Linked DNA regions of Schizosaccharomyces pombe. The protein of the gene in region 1 binds, or shares a complex with, the protein of each later gene. Each region holds a gene or a part of one and is shown on either strand. Other genes may lie near its edges.

Region 1 (3,758 bases):
AGGCTTCTTTAACTCTAAAGGATTTAAGTCAATTTTTCGATAAATGTTTTCTGTTCTAGCTATCTTGGCAGCGTTTACAATATTTTCCATTAGCATAGCAACAGTCATCGGTCCGACGCCTCCAGGGACAGGAGTAATGCTGCTAGCAACTTTGGATGCAGATTCGAAATGCACATCGCCAACCAAAACGCGTTTTCCATTTCTTTGAACAGCGTTTATGCCAACATCTACCACAACAGATCCTGGTTTCAACCATTCACCACGAACAAATTCGGGTTTGCCTAATGCTGCTATAACCAAATCAGCATTAGAAATGTGCTGAATTAAATCTTTAGTTTTAGAATGACAGACAGTTACTGTAGCATTGTCCTTTCTCAACAAGTAGCTAATTGGATTTCCGACAATGTCACTTCTTCCCAGAACTACAGCGTTCAATCCAGCGACTGAAATCTTGTTATCTTTTAATAACTCCATAATACCTTTCGGGGTACAGGGATAATGAATGGGGGTAGCATCATTCTTTGCCAATAAACCAATGTTAAATGCACCAAATCCATCAACGTCTTTCGGCGGAGTGATAGATTCAGTAACTGTACGCTCATTGAGATGCTTGGGAAGAGGAAGTTGGACAAGGACACCGTGAACCGTATGATCGTCATTCAATTTTTTTAATTCATGAAGCAAGGCAGGCATTTGGATTGTTTCAGGAAACGGGCAGTATTTAAAATCAATACCAACTAATCGTGCCGCCTTTTCTTTCATTCGAACGTACACGTTAGAATCCTCACGTTTTCCAACCTGTACAATGGCAAGCGCCGGCTTAAAGTTTCGATCCTTAGCTTTCAAGGCCTGCACTTCTTCAGCAACAGAACGTTGTAATTTTCTAATTAGTCGCTACATTAGTAACCTCAAAGAGAAATAAAAATATAAAGTTTTAAGAGCAAAAAAATCTGATGAAACCTCAAACGTGCTGCAATGCCCAATACAATTTTTTAACTTCTAAGTATCGACAAAAAAATTGAAGAATATACGGAATTAAGCAATGTACGCAAATCAATTTTCAAACCACCAAAATTTTATCGTCAAAGACAAACACAGAAATGCACGCTCATCTGCATAGAGAAAATTTAGAATATAAACTTTATCTTACCTTGCCAATAATTTTCCATTTAGGATATTCGCAGAACTTGAAGTACCATACGACTGAAAAAGCCATTTCGATGGCCGTAAGCTGTTGCTTTCTAGAAAATAGTTTCGTAATTGATTAAACGAAACCATTACGTTCATAGAAAGACACCCAGAAGTGGTAGGGTAGTAAGGGAACCTGCCTGTCCTCTGGTGGTGTGTTAAAGCAAAATTTTTATTGGTAGTCAGGTAATCTATGTTGAATAATACGCTTACAGTAGAATATGAACCGAAACATTTTAATAGCGATTGTATTAAAGCAATGTATTCATTCTCGTATAATTTATTCTTCAAGCTCGAATAGTGACTGGAACAATTGCATTATTGCAAATCATAATGTATTGAACAAGTAATAATATACCTAAGCCTTTGAGATAGCTAATAAGCACACAAATAGTCAAAGAAAAAGTTTAAAAATCTGTTACATGATATACAGAATCTCAAGATCAAATATAATAGACAAATATAAACAACAAACGATCTGACAAGCAACTCATTAATTATCAGTAAATAAACTTAGACTAGAAAAATCATATAGTTTAGTTTAGTAGAGATAAACTCATTAATGAACAAGGAAGAACACACAAATTTACCGAAAGTTAACCTTTATAAGTTTCACTTTTCTTATGATAGCCATACCTTTAGTATTACTAATTTATAATTATAAAAAAAATTCCCGTTAAATTTAATAAGTACAAGCTAAAATCGTACTCAGTCATGGTTTACTCGAGTGTAAACAATTAAAGCACTCTGTTTCTCTATCCAACAGTGTGCGAGTCAAGTAACATTGCTACTTGAGGAGAGTGAACGTTTACTACACAACATGCCGACATGACCTCCTAACGAAAGCGATTCTATAACTTCAAACTAGCTATTGTAACATTGGCCATAATTTTGTATATTAATAGAGAGAATTTCATCTCGTATATACTTTTCATGAGTGTGCACACTTGATGTAAAACACTTCGCAAGCTGGATTGCACGACAAAAGTATATAAATAGCTGGCATCAAAAAATTACAGTCGTATTCGTGTGTTTTCTGAGTGATTGCTATTGATATTGACAATATTGACTCATTAGAAGTACCCACTTTCGTTCAGCAGTTACTTTTCGGTGGTGGTTTACATTGGGCAGAATTTGGATGTTTCTGACAAAGTATATCTTTAATCAAAATTATAATGAAGTTTCCTGATTTGTTGAGATGCTCCCGAGCAGTTAGTTTAGCAAGACCAGACTTGCCGAGGAACTCCCCTGATGTCTATGATACGAAGATTCCCATCCTACAAGCAATTACTGCGAAGAAATGCCAAAGATTTCGCGGCGATTGGGGAGCTAAGAGGAAGTTACCGATCCTAAAAAACCGTCATATTTCCATACAAAAGTTTGACACATTCGAGCATCAGTGTGCCTTCATCAGCAGTGACAGATTCGTACGCACCTTGAAACGAATTTACGACCTTAAGCTCCCTGTTCCGCTTAATGATTATGAACAAATTTCCCCTTACCTTTTACAGAAATACAACACTTTCTCAAGCTCAAATCCTAAATCCAGACCTACACTTCCACCAGGTATATTATACGCCAAATTGAAACTTTTAGATTCTTTTTCTGATTCTGAAAAGAAGCGCCTAAGTTTAGTATCCTTTATTCAAACTAAAAAAGTCCCGTTACCATTTACTTACGGAAAATTTGCACCCGACTCTAAAGAATGTTTATTTGGTGTCTCAGGAGTTATAGCTGCTACTTCTCTCAAAGGAATTACTTCAACAAAAAATCGATACGTAATTCGATCTCTTAATGTCGATGAAACCGGTAAAACCATTCCAAATATCACACGAGAAAATAGGAGTATTTAATACCATAATACAAGTTGACATTGACAATAAAAAACAGTAAAACGATTATTTCTCCCGTGAGTCACTTCGGTTTTCTTAAAACAATAGCTTTTCTTTCAAGGAATTGTTTCTTAATATTGTTTTCGTCTGTTGATAATCGTCTATTATGAAGATCCATCCATATTTAACATTTATTTCATCTGCTTACGATCCTGAGTTTTTGAGTTAGGGAAATTAATTGCACGGACTACTTTCTCCTTGAGCTATCATGATATGCCTTTAAGATCATTAAATATTTTTAACCGTTATTTTGCATTGTAGTGAACCGCTTTTTTCTCCCTCTTTTTGTTCATGGAGAGATTCTATACACCTATTACTTTTTCTAGGAAATAATATTGTCAACAAGCTTGTTTATTATTCCCACCATTCTTGTTTAAAAAAGATTGAATTTTTATTGTTTGTTTTTTGAGTGATTTTAACTTATTTTGGTTCTTGTAATTTTCGTTATGGCCGTATCGCATTACTGGAAACCTACGATGTTCCTAAGGGTGTCCGTTTATATTGAACTCTGTTTGGTTTATATTATGTACGCACGTGCTAAAAAATTTGCATAAATAAATTAATAAGCTTATATCAATCAACGCTTCCCGACAGTGTATTAAATTGTAAATCCGATAAACTTTGTAAACGTCTTTTGAATTTGCTTCTTAATTACCCAGTTACTCTAGTACCTACTAA
Region 2 (3,389 bases), 280 kb from region 1:
AATCGTAGTGGAGTGCTGGCTTGGAAGAGTTGGAGAACCTTCGACTCGAGACCATTTACCAATCTTGCAATGGCGGGAAAGAATGGAATGTAAAACAACAGCATTGGCAGAAATTTCGCAATCCTCTTGAATAATTGAGTTTCGAATACGTGCGCCATCCTCGATGCGAACACGAGCACCAATTGAAACATTGGGTCCAATCTTTGCACCTTTGCTAACAATAGCATTAGGATGAATAAAAACCGGCTGAATGATCTCAGCCTCAGTGTCGGGTTTTGGAAGAGTACCATCATGATATGCCTTTTGTAAATACAAGGAATTAGCAGGAACAGCAGAGCCAGCGGTTTTTATTTGACGCCAGAACTCAGGAGTATTATAAGCATAAATGGCTTTAGAGGAATCTGAGCACAATGGAGCAAGCACATCGGTCTCCAAACTGAGGTAGTCTTCCATTCCTTCATCCAAGGACCTGAGTTGCTTCTCGACCTCCTCAAGTCTACGCTCGTACGCTTTTTTGATTTCATCGAATATAGAGGCATCAAAGATATAAATACCACATGAAATAATATTTGAAAGATAGGAGCTTGGCTTATCAACATAATGAAGTACACGCCCAGTACTTGGTTCCTCTACAAGGCAACCGAAGTTAGAAGCATCTTCTTTACTAACCTTAGTAGCCATTAAAGTAACTAAAGCTTTCTTCTCGTGATGAACGTTTAACAATTCTTGTAAGGGAAAACTGCAACACACATCCGCATGCATAACAAAAACATTAGAAGTATGTCCTTTAAGGATTTGATCACGGAAATGGTATAAGCCGCCACCAGTTCCTAAGCAGTTGTATTCACGGAGATACTTGATACGATTGAAACTGGGGAAATGCGAAGCTACTTCGTTGATAAAATCTTTGAAAACGCTTTCATCGTAGAAACCAACCAAAAAGACATCTTTAACACTTTCAATCTTGGATAAAGCCGCCAAATGATGGTAAATCATTTCTCGTCCTCCAATTTTAAACAAAGGCTAATTTAGTTAGCAAAATAGCTCTTATGTTTCAAATGCAACTAGAAAGTAAAACTGGATTACGTATTTTACCAACATATAAATTCTAAATAAGACGTACTTTAGGGACATCAAACGAAAGAGGGCGGAATCGGGTACCACTGCAAAGTAATTAGTTACTGATATTCACGCGTTTAATAGACTTATTTTTCGTTGGTACGTACCGAGATGGACCCCCGACCAGAATGACAGCAGAGGAAATCATAATAGCAATTTAATACTAAAAAATCAATAATGAGTATCAAAATCACCAAAAACGAAAGAGATATACGCCTCTTGAAACTTGGTGTGTGGTTCTGTGCAAGTCCTGTCCAGCTCTCCTTTGTTTAATAAGGAAGGTAGCGCTATGAGCTAACTTCTGCCAGTTCATATTTGCACTTAATAGCCTGGCTGCAGAAGATAATACTCTATGTAACAATGAAATACTAATGTAAATCAATTTAGTTCAAAAACCCATGATCTAAAAATTGTGCTGCAGGCTGAGGCACTTTGCCAGCCGTGAGGAACTTAATGCTCATCATCAGCTGTTTTGCAGAAAATAGTAAAGCACCTTCTAGCTTTGGTACAAATTATAATGCATTAAAACTTAAATAAATAAAATTTACTAATTGAATTTTCGAGTAAAAGTAGCCTTTTTAAAAATTTGTTCTCTTTAATCACCTTTATGAATTTACCATCAACTTCACGCACTACGCTGGAAGATTGGACTCTCGTGACAAAGACTTAATTGCTCATGAAGGGGAAATTTAGGTTCTCTTTAAAGCGCGGTGTATGTTATATATGAAATTATTGATTTTTTCGCTTTTATTAATACATATCTAGCTTTTGCGTCCGTCGTGGAACAAATACAATATATACAACATTGCAAGAAAACAACTACCTGCTCTGAATAATAGAACTTTATATCAAAAAAAATGGAATGCGAAGAAGGAAACAAGGTCTTATCATGGTCCTCAATTACGCGAATATCAACTGAAAAATGCCTTCCGCCCAAAATTGGAGGGGGTTATTTCTTCCTTAGATAATAAGCTTCCCATCCCTTTTATGAATCAGACTTATGCATTTTTGGAATCCCGTTTAGACATGTCTATTCATCGAGCGTTATTTGCGTCTAGCGCTTTACAGGCTCGCCAACTGGTGCTTCATGGAAAAGTGCACGTAAACGGAAAACCTGAACGCCGTGCCTATCGTCAACTCTTACCTGGTGATTTAGTAACTGTTGATCAAAAATCAGTAATGAATTGTGTTTCTGCCTCTAGTAACAATACCCCTTCTATACAGGATGGGAAGCAAACTGAACAGGTGTCCTCTAAGGATGGAGAAAATGAAAAAAAAAAGGATAATGATGATGATTTATTTGAACAGACTTCTAATGGAAAGTTGCCCTCTATCAATGAAACAATTTCCAACTTTGTTCCTAAACCGTTTATGTCACTAATGGCATTTATCCCTGCTTATTTAGAAGTTTGCTTCCGCACTTGTTCCTTTGTTTATGTGCGTGATCCAGTTGCTCGTCCTGGCTTAACGGAAGTTCCTTCTCCATTTCCTGAAGACTTGCACGCTTTAGCCTATACATACTATATCAGAAGTCGTAATATGCGGCAAGGAGCAGCTAGATGTCAGGCCAGACGGCTTATTCCGCAGAAAGTACGCGATGCATCATTTTATCAAGGACCTCCTGAATTATATAAAAAACGAAATGTTTCTCCCAAAGAAGCATTCTCTCATCGGTATCCAGTTCGTCAAGGAAAGTTGACGAAACTCGTATAAATCGAATAAATGAACTCCTCTCAAAAGTTTAGTAATAAAATATAAAACATTCTCAATTATGCTTTTTGTAATACTATGTTGATTTCCACTTTTGTTTTCCTGCTCTATGAAGTAACTGCCCTGTCTACTGCTATCCACGTAACCAAATCTTATACACATACAAGAACTGGCACATCTTTTTTCATGTACCAAAAGGAGGCCTTTTATCGTGGACGTAGCTCAACAAGACAATTTAACAATACCCGATCTCCATCTGGACGTTCAGCGTCGCGTTCTTCCAATTTCTCACATCGGTCTAGTAGTCGTGATTCTTTTTCCTCGAATAGATCTTACTCGAGTTCGCTTTCCAGATCTCCAGAAGAACCATTGCGAACAGTACGTTTTCCATGTATAATTAGTTATTTAAGGCATACTAATCGTTTCTAATACGATGCAAAATAGATTCTTGTGGAAAATTTGACGCGTAATGTCACTAAAGAACATATAGCAGAAATATTTGGGATTTATGGACTAATTGATCATATTTTCATGCCAATTTATAAAAAATGTGAGTGAGC

Evidence for each region.
Region 2: mug178 (region 1) and nam9 share a complex: the UniProt entries of both Schizosaccharomyces pombe proteins name them as parts of the mitochondrial small ribosomal subunit.

Annotation. Positions count from the first base shown.
Region 1 is NC_003423.3:3,446,496-3,450,253, reverse strand, and holds mug178 (mitochondrial 37S ribosomal protein bS1m), read left to right. Parts: upstream 1-2,029; 5' UTR 2,030-2,363; coding exon 2,364-3,041; 3' UTR 3,042-3,738; downstream 3,739-3,758. Other genes in the region: ade9 (trifunctional formate-tetrahydrofolate ligase/methenyltetrahydrofolate cyclohydrolase/methylenetetrahydrofolate dehydrogenase), read right to left, coding at 1-883, 1,151-1,287. UniProt on the Schizosaccharomyces pombe protein: Component of the mitochondrial ribosome (mitoribosome), a dedicated translation machinery responsible for the synthesis of mitochondrial genome-encoded proteins, including at least some of the essential transmembrane subunits of the mitochondrial respiratory chain.
Region 2 is NC_003423.3:3,727,695-3,731,083, reverse strand, and holds nam9 (mitochondrial 37S ribosomal protein uS4m), read left to right. Parts: upstream 1-1,734; 5' UTR 1,735-1,795; coding exon 1,796-1,831; intron 1,832-1,884; coding exon 1,885-2,832; 3' UTR 2,833-2,889; downstream 2,890-3,389. Other genes in the region: mpg2 (mannose-1-phosphate guanyltransferase), read right to left, coding at 1-1,023, 1,124-1,163, 1,227-1,267; rns1 (putative RNA-binding protein), read left to right, coding at 3,016-3,207, 3,274-3,379. UniProt on the Schizosaccharomyces pombe protein: Component of the mitochondrial ribosome (mitoribosome), a dedicated translation machinery responsible for the synthesis of mitochondrial genome-encoded proteins, including at least some of the essential transmembrane subunits of the mitochondrial respiratory chain.